4 linked regions of the Rattus norvegicus genome follow. The protein of the gene in region 3 interacts with the protein of the main gene of each other region in a pairwise test. Links are inferred from orthologs where the notes say so. Each region holds a gene or a part of one and is shown on either strand. Other genes may lie near its edges. The genes, in order: Mis18a, Pknox1, Nup58 and Htt.

Region 1 (4,149 bases), on a different chromosome or scaffold from region 3:
ACTAAAGAGCCCAAAGAGTGGTGGGGAATGGGGTGCATGTGGTCCAACACTAACGGGACAGGGGCCTTCAGGGAGAAGAGGTGGGACAAGAGTTATTTCACGTCCTTCTCTGAAAACCAGTGGGATTAATAAATGAACAATGTTACCCAGGGAAGAGCAGTGGTAGGGCTTGGCCTGTGAGTATCACAAACTGTAAACTACAACCAAAAGTTGCCAGAGAGAGTGCAAGTGGGCCCAAGAGCAAGTCGGACGAGGGAGGTCACCAATGCGCCTCCAGATTCCAACAGAGCTCCTTTCTCTACAAGTAAAGGGTCCCAGTCTGACATCCTGTGTTTGGACACATCGCAGCTGGACCAGGAACACGGTACCAAACATTCCAGAGGGAAATGAAGAAGCACTGTCAGAGAGTGGGACAGCCAGGGCAAACTCCTGACTTCACCGTCTTCCGCGGTGCCTTAGCTAAGCAAGCCCCATGCCCATAAAAATGTGGTTTCTCAAAGGAGAAGCTGGGATGTATCCTATGAGTTTGGTTCTTTCGGCTCTGGGTATGGTGAGAGCAAGCCCTGGAGAGTTGCTGTGGTGACACAGCTACAGTGGTGCTAGTCTTCCTCTGTGCTTGTTCCAGAAGAGCTGAATCCTGTCACTCCTCGCTCAGCAGTAGACCCCCATTGTTTCACCATAGCCTAAAGTCCCTTCATTCCCTGGTCCCTTTCTAAGGTTTGTCTTTATCCACACTTTGGCCACATTGACCTGGAACCCTTTTTACTACCTGAACATCCCCCCACCGGGGTGGGGGACACTCAGCATTTGCATATAAAGGTAACAAAAAGACATTTTCCAGCACCCAAACTTGACATTTCCTTGGGGACACTTGTGATAATTAAACAACTCAAGAATGGGAAATTATAAACTGTAAAATTTTATTCATTTCTGAGTGTTTTGTCTGTATGCATGTGTGCACCAAGTGCACGGGGTGGTGCCTGTGGCAGCAGACGCCCTGTATTGCAGTAACCTACGGTTGTAAACCACCATGCAGGGCTGGGAACTGAACCCTGGCCCTTTGCAAGGGCTCTTTACCACTAAGTCATCTCTCTAACCCCTAATTTTTTTAATATGTTAACAAAACTAGTGGGGTTCGGAAATTAATTTATAGAACATTATAAAGGCTGGAGAGATGGCTCAGAGGTTAAGAGCACTGGCTGCTCTTTCAGAAGTCCTGAGTTTAATTCCCAGCAACCACAGCATGGCTCATAATCATCTGTAACAAGATCTGGTGTGCAGGCACACATGCAGGCAGAATACTGGATATATAATAATAAATACTTAATAAATAAATCTTAAAATAAGTAAAGCTAAATCACCATGTTGTGGCTATAAATAAAGTGTTAAGTGTTGAGTGAGATATAGGGGTGCACATCTGTAATCCGCACTACTTAGAAAGCTGAGGTTAGATCATTAGTTCAAAGTCATCCTTGGAAACAGTAAGAGCCCCATTATAAAACAGAAAAAAATTAATTAAAAATTGTAAATGTCATAAATGTGAACGAAGGTAAATAAAACACTCCAACTGGGGCAAGAGGGAAAAGAAATTAATCTGGAAGGTCATTTTTTTAAAAAGCTTTTACGGGGTTGGGGATTTAGCTCAGTGGTAGAGCGCTTGCCTAGGAAGCGCAAGGCCCTGGGTTCGGTCCCCAGCTCCGAAAAAAAGAACCAAAAAAAAAAAAAAAAAAAAAGCTTTTACACCCTTCTGCATTGTTTAATAGGTGCAAAGGGATAATTCCAGTGAATGGAATTATCTTTTTGCTCCTACTGTTTAAAAGACTCAGTAAAAAGTACTAACATGAGGATAAATAGAATTATCTAATCCACACAGGTTAAATTTTTAAAACCTAACAACAGTATTAATACACACAGAAAGCAAGATAGAAAAGCTACAAAAACGGGGGATTAAAAATTAAAGACACGTTATTTCTTTTAAAGCCATTAAAAAACTACTATGTCAAAAATCTCAACCCAATTTTAGGCTACCCTAATTAATGGTGGCAATGCTTGAGTCAAACTAAACTCTATCAAGAAGCTCATCCAGTAAAGAAATCGCCTAATCCTGTGGCCATATACCATACATACACTTATCGTCCCCGTTATCCCATGTATTAGCCCTCAATTTGGAGACTGAGGCAAAAGCCTTTGAACAGATTGCCCAAGGGCACTAAACTAAGTCCAGCAGCGGCGGCCTACAAAGTACCCAAAGCAGCTGACAGAATCCGTTAGATGTGAAAACACTCCCCTGAAGGAAGCACCTTGCTAAAAACGCTTGGATATTTCTTTCTGAATAACGTTCAGGATGATGCTCAACCGCTCCCCTTCTAGGGATGGAAGACCCCAGAAAAAGCCCTGTTACTCGTGAGCCACCCACAGGAATGCCCTCGCCACGGTTTGCTGGGACAGCTCACCCCCACCCCACCCCTCCCGCAGCACCCTCACGCGGGAAGGCGGTCCCACGGCCCCGGCCCAAACTGACTGCGCAACAGGATGCAGTTGGTGTCCTCCTGGCTAGCCACCCAGGTGAGCGAGTCGCCCAGCGGCCGGCGACAGCGCGTACACAGGAACACCAGCGGGTTCTCCGCCGCGGCAGCCTTCTCCTCACGCCTCTCCAGCAGTGTCCTCGACGCGTCTGCGCTCGACATGCTCGCCCACTTCTGCAGCCGCCAATGGCGGCTCGAATCTTCCGACAGCCGCTTCTCCAGCAGCGAAGACTCGCTCCGCTTGCCCTGGTGGTTACACGAACTAGAGGTAGAGCAGGGTTCCAGAGAAAATGTACCAGCCATGACGAATTTGCCGCGCCCCGGAGCCTCACGGGAAATAGCACAGCTGCGCATGCGCAAGGAGCAAGAGGCGGGCACCGCCGAGGAGGGTGAGGCCCGAAGTAGGGCCTAAGGCGCATGCTCACTATCTGGCTGGAGCGAGCCTAGCTCATTGCGCCTGCGTCCTGGCGTCTTCCTAAGCAAAGGCAGGTGAATTAGCTTGTTGGAGGTCCTTCCGCCGCCGTTGAGAAAGTTAAGGGCTTCGAATTAAACAAGCAACCGCTCACCTAGTCCTTCCACATTATTAATGGACATGCCGGTGCTAGGTAAGCAGATCTGGTAAGCAGGCCCACCTCCATGGAATTCCAAGTGGTGTATTGCTAGCCACATCCCTGATTCTAGTCTGTCTGCTCCCGGAGACCCACTTTCCTAGATCCAGAAAAATCAGGGATCGATGGCGAGCCAAAGACACCCCCTGCCTCAAAGACCCAGCATTACGCAGGCTTGCACTGCAAGGGAAAAGTACGAGAAGCTGGAGGGGACAGCATTACTGTGGTTACAAAGTGGGCGAGTGTCACTCACTCTGTCTGGGTCAGAGTACAGTAGGGGCGGGAAGGACGGTCAGTCATCAGAAAGTCAACCTGTGACTTCAGAAGACCACAGGCTAAAGGGAAGGCTGGCGGAGAGCCGAGGGACGCCACCAGGGACAGCCTGGATGCAGAAGTAAGAAACAACACGCAAAGACCACCGTATTTTCCTCCAAGTCACACTTCGCAGTTCGCTTCGTTAAACTTCAGCATACGCAACCACCTGTTTTCGTATCTCAGGCCCCTAGTAAAAAGTTTCGAATCCTAAACCTTCGAGTTGACTGACCAAGGTAGTAAAGGGCCGGAAACTGGAAAGGCGACTTTGCCTTCTCTAAGTGTGATTTTTAACTTTTTGTTTCTTTTGATTCATTTTTGTCCAAGCTGTCCACCCACGGCGATCCTCCTGCATCAGCCTCCCACGTGCTAGGATTACAAGCCAGCCTTGAGTCTTGATTCTTCACAGGATTAAATGGTCAGTAACCTCCTGGACTATTAACTGAGCAATGGGATGTGTGTGAGGATACCATAACGGCATTAATTAGCTTCCAAGTAGGAGAAAATGCATCAAATAATTTAGGATTTGTCTACCCATAGAGTTGTTTTCTCTCTACTGCTTTTGAAGGTGCTGCCTGTGTCCCATGCACAATGCAGCCTATGTGAGTTGTGCACGTTGCATAATATCTTTGGAATTCAGTGGGCAGTTGTTTGGCTCAGACTTTGGGATTCTATGGTCAATGCTTAAAATTCTGTAGTGGTAT
Region 2 (3,566 bases), on a different chromosome or scaffold from region 3:
TATTTATTCATTTAATTTTCTGAGATTCTGAGATGGCATCTCACTGCATAGCCCTGGCTTGCCTGGAGTTCACTGTGTAGACCAGAGTGGCCTTACCCCCCCCCCCCCCCCCCCAGTGCTGGGATTAAAGGTTGGCCACCTTGCCTGGCTCCTGGCTTTGTTATTATGTGTGAGCCTGTGTGAGTGAGCTTATGTGTTCCATACCTGTGGAGGAGTCCTCAGAGGCCAGAAGAAGGTACTGGGTCCCCTAGAACTGGAGTTCACAGGTGCTTGGAGTTCTGTGGGTGCCAGGAACCAAAACCAGGTTCTCTGGAAGAATAGCTAGAGAGCGCTCTTAATTCTCTAGCCCCAGGTTGCCTTGTTTTTTGAAAGGAAAAACAAAAAAGAATTCTCCAAGTAATTCTAAAGATGGCGACAGAATGGATGTCCTTCTGGGCTGCCGGAAAGCATTGGGGGCAGCGTTGGGGGTGGGGCCCCTGGCTAGTGTGGAGACAGGGTGGCCTCTTCCTAAGATAAGTCTATCTGAGAGGCAGAGACATAGCTTGTGTAACACAGAGAACATGTTACAACCCTAGTAAACACACCTGGTCTCTTCACTGTCTGGATAAGCTGCCCTTTGTTTAAAGCTGTGTGTCGCGGCTCACTGGTTAGGAGCTCATCCCGTTCTTGCAGAGGGCTGGAGTTCGCTTCCTACAACCACGTGGTATGGTTTACGACCATCTATAACACCACTTGTGCGTGCACACAGACATACACACACTGTCTTATGCAAAACCGTGTATACGAGAGTGTGTGCTGGGGTCAGATTAGGAAGGAAGTTGCACACGAGCTACATGCCCAGCCCTTGTTCATATTTGCATAATGGCGCAGGGTTACACGTGGGAGAACCTGAACCCTGTCACAGAACTGTAGTGTTGCGTTTGAGGTTTTTGTGAGTGAATATAAGAAGAGCAGACCTTCTGTTCTCCCTCTCCCCAAGTTACTCATTGGGAGAGTGGCTAGAAGAGTCAGCTTACACTGTGTCCCTGTCAGCCACGCACAGGGCTTGGAAGCCATCACACTTCCTCATACATTTGCCCTTCATACTGTCTGCTCTTGGAGCATACGAGAGTCAAAGGTTTGCCGCTAGTGTTGTTCATGTTATGGGCAGTTATCTGATCTTCTGACAGGATAGCAGCACTGTACATGTCTTCTGTAACAGAACTTCTCCTTTTCCAGATGCAGGTGGTCACTGAGTTGAAAACAGAGCAGGATCCCAACTGCTCTGACCCGGATGCAGAAGGAGTGAGTCCTCCTCCCATCGAGTCTCAGACCCCGATGGATGCCGACAAGCAGGCCATTTATAGGTAGTGACTGGGTGTGGACTAGAGAGAATACAGTGTGAGGTGGAACTCAGGGCTGGGATCTACACTGAGCCCTTTGCGGATTGCGATGGCTCTTATAATAACGCACGAGTAGTAATAGAGACCTAAACTCAGGTAACCTTCCAGGAAGTCTTCAGAACAAGCATGGTGGTGCACACTTAGACTCTCAGCACGGGGATAGACAGTTCAAAGCCAGTTGCAGGCCAGTCTGGACTACCTAACAAAACCCTAAAAGGGAAAGAGGAGGCCTAGAGAATGGGTCAGCAAGGAAAGTCTTACCATGTAAATGAGATGACCTGAGTTTGAGTCCTAGAACCCACAGAGGGTGAGGAAAATGCCATAGATTTGTCCTCTGACCTCTACATGCAGTTCTGGAAACTGTCATTTTGCTCTCTTGACCTTATACCCAGGTATCTCCTGAGTGAGGACTCACTTCAGTTAAGTAATATCTTTTCTTGACTGGCTTCCTTCACATCAAATGGTTTATGTGAGGACTGTAATATAGAGCCTGCTGGGACTTTCTTCCTCTTTGAGGCTGTATCCTGTTTATACACCACGTTTATCCTTCAGCAGATACTGGGCACTTGGGGTTGGGTTGCCTCGTCCTTTTTAAGATGGGATCTCTCTGTAGTCCTAGCCTGCCCTGGAACTCACTATATAGGTAAAGCTGGCCTTGAACTCACAACGATCCACCTGCCTCTACCACCCAAGTGTTCTACACACCCGGCTGTGCGTCCTCCCTTTGACTGTAGTGTCCTGTGAACACAGGTCTGTAGATGCACAGCTAGCTGTACACGGGGTGTTAGAAGCTTCACTCATGATCCTCAGACTAGAAACAGCCTGGATGTTTCTCGACAGTGGTGGGCCCATGGAAAGGAAGGTATATGGCTGCAACACGTGTTCACAGGAACCCCAGCTATCTTAAGCCCTTCTCAGAAGCCTTGCATTTTGTATAATTGCTTTTCCATGACACCAAGAGAAAACTTGACGATGGTGACCTCTGCTGGAACTAGGGCTTCCAGCATGGCACACGGAAGGGAGAACAAGAAAGGCTGGGTGTCCTAGAGCTGCTCTGTGTCCTGTTTACAGTGGTGACTAGACACACTTGTAAGGGTCTAAGAACCGAGAATGGTCCATTTTATTGTTGGATAGTTCACACATACAAATTGAAATCAGGCATGGTAGTCCATGCTATAGCCCAGGCCTCAGAAGGCTGGCCTGAGAGGAGCAGGAATCAAGGCCCGTCTGGACTATGTAATAAGACCCTGTCAAATAGCAAACAAATAACAAGGAAAAGTTAATGAAATGATTAGGAATTTTGAAAAGATATTTTCATATAGTGTAAAGCTAACTCATTAAAAATATTTCATGAGGGGTTGGGGATTTAGCTCAGTGGTAGAGCGCTTGCCTAGGAAGCGCAAGGCCCTGGGTTCGGTCCCCAGCTCCGAAAAAAAGAACCAAAAAAAAAAAAATTTCATGAAACAGTTCTACTCAGAGTAGCCATACTCTGACTACTAAACGAATTAAAAAACAAGTGATGGATGGGTTGAGAGAGATGGCTCAGTGGGGAAGAGCACAGATTGTTCTTCCAGAGGACCTGAGGGATCTGGCGCCCTCTTCTGGCCTCCATGGGCACCAGGTGTGCATGCACATAGCATAAAATTGTAAAAGAATATACAGAAACAAGTAACAGGCTGTTTAAACATCATTCATACAGGCCAGACAATGCACATCTGTAACTTCAGGGACTTGAGGCTGAGGCAGGAGAGCCTCAAGTTAGAAGCCTGACTGAAAAACAGATCCCTGTGACAGTGTGGGCAGAGGCCCATTGGTGCACACATCCCAGAGTGTTCCTGGAGGGATGTGGCACACCCTTGCTCTGTTTCCCCACAGGCACCCGCTATTTCCATTGCTAGCTTTGCTGTTTGAGAAATGTGAGCAGTCCACACAGGGATCAGAAGGCACGACGTCCGCCAGCTTCGATGTGGACATTGAGAACTTTGTCAGGAAGCAAGAAAAGGACGGGAAGCCCTTCTTCTGTGAAGATCCGGAAACAGACAACTTAGTGAGTAAAGTTGGTGTTTTGTTTCTACTTTTTGTGATTTAAATCTGTTCTTGAAGTTTACCTTCCTGGTCTCCTGGTTTCTAGCTAATTTTCCCTTTAACAATCTAACTAATTGTGCCTCCTCGTGAGGTGGGGCT
Region 3 (3,566 bases):
GCAGAAATTAGTAACTCTCCCATTTCCCCCTCATCCAACAAAATCCCCTCCTCCCTTGGGAACTATTGCAATGGTACCCAGCAACTAATTCTAAACAACAGTATAATTTTTAATCCCAGCCAACAATTCTACCTTTAAAAGTAAATGAATCATGAACTAGGTAAGTTTATAAATGTCTTTACACTTTCTGCCATCAACAGTCTCTTAAAAACAAGATAAAAACATCTCTACACTTCACTCCTCTGACTTGTTATTCTTTTTTTTTTTTTTTTTCTTTTTTCCGGAGCTGGGGACCGAACCCAGGGCCTTGCGCCAAGCGCTCTACCACTGAGCTAAATCCCCAACTCCTCTGACATGTTACTCTTAGTAGAGACCACATTTCAAGTCATAACAGCTTTAATAGCCAATGCTAACTTATTTTTTCCAGATAGTCTTGTCACATAGACAAGCCTTGCCTTGAACTCAAGATTCTCCTGTTCTCCCTCGCAAATCATAGGTGTGGACCACTAAGCCTGACTCTAAAAAGTCAAGAATTCAATAGGACAAAATCAATTAACTATTCAAATAAATGTCCCAAGGTATAGTTGTCCTTTAAAAATTTTTTATGCTTGTACAGTAAAACAATTTACTCACTTAACCATCTCCCCAGTCCAGAGATGTTTAATTTAAATGGCTACTGCTATTTTCTAACTGAAAAAAAAATTTAATATAACCAACAAATTCAGTTTTTTTCCCATTCTGTCTCACCTGCTGGAGCTGATGTCAGAGCAGACGAGAGAGTAAGACCACTAGCTGTGGTAGAAGTGACGGGCAGGGCAAATGGTGTGGCAGATGCTGCAGGTTTACTGAATCCTAAACTAAAGCCTGTTGTAGATGCAGATGTAGTAGCTGTTGTTCCTGTTTCAAACAAACAAACAAACAAACAAACAAACAAACAAAATCTCATTTTTATCTTAATCATATAAATGATATGTTGACTTTAGACAGTATTTTATGTCTGTGATCCTTTTCTCTACCATAAGAAATAGGATAGAGATACACCAGTTGGGACTAAATCATGGTGAATACAAAAACTTTGGGTTAAGAAAGAAATGCAAGATGGGTGTGGTGGCTCAAGCCTTTGATCCCAACACTCAGGAAGCAGAGTCAGGCAATTTCTGTGAATTCTAAATCAATTTGGTATATTGATATGTATATACTAAGTTCCAGGACAGACAGGGTGACACAGTGAGACCCTGTTTCAGAAAGTGGGGGGAACCACAAAGAAAAAGAAATGTAAAAACAACCACTCTAAAACTGTAATCAATTTCAGTTCCTTCCCTAGCTTGCCTACAATGGCTACAATAGCACTTATTCCCTGTACTCCCTTTGCTGTCAACAGAAAAACAGCCCCTCCTGTCCCACCCAGACTGTACTCCTGGAAACCCCCTCTCCTGGACTCCATCCCTATCAGCACCACGTTCTCTCCCCACTCCTCCTTTCCAGGCCTTGCCTGTGCATCTCCTTCCTGCACTGCTCCCAGAGTTCTCTTGCTGCTTCCACCACTGATGGCTCCAGTTTCATCAACAGGTACAGGAATCTAACCCTAGCTGCCACCAGCTTCTTTGGTTTACTGAGGCAGTGTCTTGCTAAGTAGGCAGAGCACTCCTACTGTGTTAGCCTCCCTAGCACTGAAAGAGCAGGCGTGCACCACCACACCCACTGTGAGCCTAAATCTCTGCCTACCTGAATCCCACTGGCTGGTAGACCTTGATGTCCCTTTGAGTCATGTATCTGACCACAACACAAAAGCCTGCACACACTCACTTCAGCCAAGTCAATCACTCAAGGCAGAATCCCTGATACTTTTTCCTTCCTTTGCATTGCTTTAGTTCAAAATCTTATTATTAATTTTATTTCAAAAATATTGCTAGATTACTAGCATCCTCAAAAACATTGTGAGACCACATAGGTGGTTTTAGATGTGGATTTATGTTCATTGCATTTTAGGTATGTGATGCTTTAGTGGAAAAGAGACTGTGTGACAGTCTTAAATCAAGCCCTGGTTGTCTCTGTAAGATGTTAACAGCCCTGTCATACCTTGAAGCGAAACTTTTAGTTATCTATAACATCACAGAATCATGGGGTGGGGAGCATACCTCTCAGCGGAAGAGCACTTGCCTTCGTGTTTGTGAGGTTTAATCCTTGCTGCTGATTTTTTCTCTTAAGGCAACTAGTGAAACTTTTGGATCCACATCCAAAACTACCTATGTTTAAAATACATCTATAACTTACACAGGCATAACATTGAAGCATTCAGGTTTTATATAACCAAACACTGAAAGGTTTTTGAAAAACAATTATATGGGCTCCATACAAGTTCTTTACAATTATTCTTCTTTTTCCTACTCTGAAATAGTTCAAGAGGAGAAAACCCACAAGTCATTAGAAAGGCAGAGTTTGCTCTTCTCAAAACTTCTTACCCAGAATTAATTGTATGGTTGTAGCTGCTATTCCCAGACACAAAAAGACAAACTGAATGATCAATAAAGATGGTTTCCGGGGTTGGGGATTTAGCTCAGTGGTAGAGCGCTTGCCTAGCAAGCGCAAGGCCCTGGGTTCGGTCCTCAGCTCCAAAAAATAAATAAATAAAAAAAAATAAAGATGGTTTCCTTCTAGATTCCACCTTCAGAGAATGATACTTATAATAAGACTGATATATGTATTATAGCAACAAATACAAGCGTTTTCCCTAGAGAATAAAAGGTGAATAAGGAAAGACTTGAAGCACACAGTACTAAAGCTGGAAGGTACTATCTACCACTCAGAGACTTTCAAGAACTACACTTTTTTCTATTTTAATATCAAAATGTAAAACAAATTGGTAAACTGCCTTAAGCATCTTTACTAAAGAAAAAAATACTATATTATATATAATTTACAAAAATCATCTTGATTCATGCTTACGACTTTCTGATGCTTCTCTGGAGCTGCTCCCTCTCCCACACAAACATCCAATTCCAGTGATGGTTCTTAAATAAAGACAGAGGACGGAAACCGGGAAAGAAATATCTCATTTACCCTGAGGACAAGACCATCCTCCTTACCTGCACTTGTTCCTCCTAGAGTGAATCCAGTGCCAGGCTTAGATCCAAAGAGTCCTGTTCCAAAACCACTGGCAGAAGTAGATGTAGATGCTGGTGTCGCAGAGCTTCCGAGAGTTCCGAAGTTGAGCCCCACAGAAGGTGTGCTTGTTTATTGAAACAAAACAAAACAAAGTCTGCTATGGCTAATATATACTTTGGAAAAATAAAAAATTAACTGCTTAAAATTGTTTTCTCTCATAAAATCTATGATGCAAAAGACATTAAAAGAAATACGCCTAACAAATTCAAACACCGTCCTTTTCTCGTTAAGAACAAAACCAAATGTAAAGTTTATCTTAAATAATACAATACTGAACCTGTGAGCTATTTGGGAGACAAAGCAATCCCACCTTCTCGGCCTGTGTGGGCTACACAGCACACTCAAGGACAGTCTGGGAACCTTACCCAGACCACCCCTCAAAATTTAAAAAGCAAAGTGCG
Region 4 (3,422 bases), on a different chromosome or scaffold from region 3:
AATCCTAAGTGGAAGTCAGTCTCATAAGCTGGGCCACAAGCAGGATTCTCACATAGGGCAGTTAACACCAACACCACTCTGTGCTAGTCAAATGGAATGCATAAGAAAAAGGAGCCGTGTGAAGTGCAAGTGCCATAGGGTGTTGGGAGGGCTACATGAGGGACCTGCCCGACTAGACTGAGTAGCTACAGGAGAGAGAGTGGTGGCCAGAAGGCGCATCCACTTCCATAAACTTTGTCACATGCAGCACAGGCCTTGCCAAGTCACACACTTTACACGGGCATAGGAAGAGTTACATTAAAATTAATCTCTTTACTGATATAATTAAATTTTAACTCCTGAGAAGAAAACAGAGAAAGGGAAAATGATGCTGGACACCTGGCAGTCCCAGTTCCCAGCCCCCACACCATTCACTTTGTGTCCAGACACTGGTGTGGCAGGTACACCTGCTGGGTAAATGTGGGAGGGAGCTCTCCAGCCCAGTGGGACAGGGGGGCTCAGAACCATCTTACAAGAGCTCGGATTCTGTTCCACATACCAGGGCAGCTGCAACCTGGCAACTATGGCCAGGGCAACACTAAGAAAAAGACAAACACCTGGTCAACCTAGCACTGCCACCAGCTGCAGTGATGCCAGGACCCAGGACTCAGGCTCAACCCCAACATAGTGCATGTTCCCTGCATAGCTCTCATTGCAAAGCACTCCTGCCATTGCCTGGCTGTCCACTTGACACAAGTGGAAGCCTGCACGTCCAAGGCAGCCTTAGCAGAAGCTTGGTGCAGGCCCCTGGAGGCTGTAGCCACAGCAGTTGCCTCCTCTCAGCCTCTTGTTCCACAGGTACTACTCAGCAGGCGGTGACCTTGTGAACATTTTGCAAACAAGCAAGCAGCCTGTGGTATGGACTTCCTGGTGCTGCCACCACCTCAAACACAGACTGGAAAGCCCTGCGGTCGAATTCCTCCTCTATCTGGTGTCTGTAGAAGTCTGTGGCAACCAGGCAGAAAAGGTTCACATCCACCTGCTCCAGTTTGCCCATCCTGCTGATGACGTGTGGAAGGCTGGTAGAACAGTTAAGGGGGAATGATGGCAAGGGTGGGAAGACAGCCTCCCCAAGCGGTTCCCTCCCTAAGTCCACCAGGAAGACTGGGCAACCAAAATAGAGGGCAGCCTAGACCACATTAGCACAGCACCTGCTTGTAATCCTCTGCCAGCTACAGCTTGCTGTCTGCCCAGGAGAGTAGGGATGGGTAGGCCCAGGGGCCCAGAGGCCCAGGAAGTGGGAGCCCTGCAGTGCAGACAGGGTGCTGGTTCCCAGTGCTCTGCGCAACAGCACTTACCTGGGCTGTGCTCCCCACACAGTGTTAGTGGCTGGTGTTCCGCTCACACTGCTCCAGTGCAGGGAGGGCAGAGCTAGCACCCTGCCTGCAAGGCTTTCCCAGTACTTAGGGTGAGGCTGTACTGTCACCACCAAGACAACTTTGCTGCTCAGTAACTCCTGTTCTACTGTGGAGAAGGCTGCCAAAAGAGGAACTCCTGGCATCACTGTTAGGGCGGGAACTGCAGCTTTACTTACGGCTTTCCCCAGGAGGGTGACCGCAGTGTAAAGATGAGAGCTAATGAAAAGCAGCATTGAGAAAACCTCAGAGGGATAAAGCATGCCAGACGCTGGGGCAGCCGCAGGGCCAGCAGCGGCCTGAGCTGCCCTGCCTCCCTTTGGGCTCCTCTCTTCTCCCTCAGCAGTAGTACTCCTGCCACAAACCCACCCGTTGGCAGCCCTGGCTGGCAAATGGCTAGACCTTCTGTTTCATGTCCCCATCAGTGTTTTAGGGGAGGGTAAGCATCCCCTTGATACCTGTGGGGTTCTTTAGAGTTTAGGCTTCAAAACACTCAGTGGAACCTGAACTGGATGCTAAGAGAATAAGGAAAGGCTGGTGGAGACTGAAACCTGGCCAAAGCCCCATGGAAGGATACATTGCAGAAACCCATGGGCTGGTAGATGCACTGACAAGGAAGCAGGAGAGGCTCCACATGGCCATGGCAACTGGAGTTCTTTGTGTGAAGTTGGACAGAGACAGCATAACCCAGTCCCGGACCATGGATGACTGCCCAGCACTGTGCAGAGTCTGAAAAACCTGGGGAGGAGAGAGCCCTGAGCACAGGGTCAGGCTGTGGGGTTGGGTGGGGACTGGGACCACAGCTGCCACCCATCTTAAAGGATGAGTCTAGCCGTGATGACAGGCCTACCATAAGTGTGGGACTGAGTCCCCCTTCATCCTCCTGCTCTGTCCTTGCTCCACAATGCAAGTACACTCTCACCTTGTATACTACAGTGGCCATGAACTGTGGGTATGGCTGCTGGTTGGACAGGAACTCTCCAATGACTTTGTTCATGACATCTTGAGGTGGAAAGAAGTCATCTAGAAACTGAGGCAGGATCCTTGCCACGACCCTGGCTTCACAGGGAAATCCCTTGCGGATCCTGAAATGAGAGGAACTGATCTGAGCCTCACCTGGTTCTTAGCCTCTCAACCCTGCCCATAGAGCCAACATGGACCAAGGCTCAGAGGCCCCTGACCCATGACCCATGACCCACAGGGATGTTCTAAGTGGGGCTCAGATCACAACTGGGGTATGAGTTTTAAAAGCCAAAGACGACATCCAGGCTGTCCTTTTGCTGCCCTGACTAATCTGGGCACAGGGTGATCTTTCCCACTCTGGGGAGAATAATGCAGTTGTGGGAAGGCCCTGTCAGGGAGCAGCAGCAACAGGTAGGTAGTGACATTACAGAAGAGACTCCACATCAAAAGGCTCTAAAGCGTCACTGTTGCATGTCCTAATATCCAGGGTGCTATTGTCAATCAGGAGCTTTTCTTCCCTTCAAACACAGACTCCCATTGACGCTCCTACTGACTCTTGTCTCAACATCCAACACTTCCACCTTTAGCAGCATCCTTAAAGACAGCTGACCTGTGACTAATGCCACACCACCGTGGTATACGGCCAAGAAGTACACAAGTGACTCTGACACTCAACCGTGTCTCCTTCCAGTGGATATGGGCTGAGCCCCACCATAGCACTTGGCTACACTCCGGGAGTATCTATTTCCTCATCCCTGCCTGTGGGATCCCCCAGGGCAGTGGCTTGGTTGTACCCCTGCATGGGTCCAGTTGTCCCTGAGTCTGGCTTGCAGGTGGTACTCTGAATATGCATGCATTGGGAAAACGGCTGCAAAGATGCAATTTAAAGTTCAAGAGAATGAACAAATACACGTGGAAGGAACTGCTCTGGCTGTGGCTCCAGGGCAGTCAATGACTACTGAGGATAAAGGTCAGGTGTTGCTGCATTTCTTACCTGTCAAAGAGCACAGACACTCGCTCCATAGCTACAATCACAGACTCGCTGTCAGGGGTAGCAGGGCTGGG

The links.
Region 1: the proteins of Nup58 (region 3) and Mis18a interact in binary tests that used the Homo sapiens proteins (3 or more experiments, as listed by UniProt). The link is inferred for Rattus norvegicus from reciprocal best matches to the Homo sapiens genes NUP58 and MIS18A.
Region 2: the proteins of Nup58 (region 3) and Pknox1 interact in binary tests that used the Homo sapiens proteins (3 or more experiments, as listed by UniProt). The link is inferred for Rattus norvegicus from reciprocal best matches to the Homo sapiens genes NUP58 and PKNOX1.
Region 4: the proteins of Nup58 (region 3) and Htt interact in binary tests that used the Homo sapiens proteins (3 or more experiments, as listed by UniProt). The link is inferred for Rattus norvegicus from reciprocal best matches to the Homo sapiens genes NUP58 and HTT.

What each region holds. Positions count from the first base shown.
Region 1 is NC_086029.1:43,464,307-43,468,455, forward strand, and holds the start of Mis18a (protein Mis18-alpha), read right to left. Parts: upstream 2,852-4,149; 5' UTR 2,829-2,851; coding exon 2,522-2,828; intron 1-2,521. UniProt on the Homo sapiens protein: Required for recruitment of CENPA to centromeres and normal chromosome segregation during mitosis.
Region 2 is NC_086038.1:9,684,670-9,688,235, forward strand, and holds part of Pknox1 (homeobox protein PKNOX1), read left to right. Parts: intron 1-1,218; coding exon 1,219-1,346; intron 1,347-3,257; coding exon 3,258-3,429; intron 3,430-3,566. UniProt on the Homo sapiens protein: Activates transcription in the presence of PBX1A and HOXA1.
Region 3 is NC_086033.1:38,576,622-38,580,187, forward strand, and holds part of Nup58 (nucleoporin p58/p45), read right to left. Parts: intron 3,230-3,566; coding exon 3,087-3,229; intron 898-3,086; coding exon 748-897; intron 1-747. UniProt on the Homo sapiens protein: Component of the nuclear pore complex, a complex required for the trafficking across the nuclear membrane.
Region 4 is NC_086032.1:80,073,271-80,076,692, forward strand, and holds part of Htt (huntingtin), read right to left. Parts: coding exon 3,352-3,422; intron 2,480-3,351; coding exon 2,317-2,479; intron 2,133-2,316; coding exon 1,972-2,132; intron 1,059-1,971; coding exon 845-1,058; 3' UTR 1-844.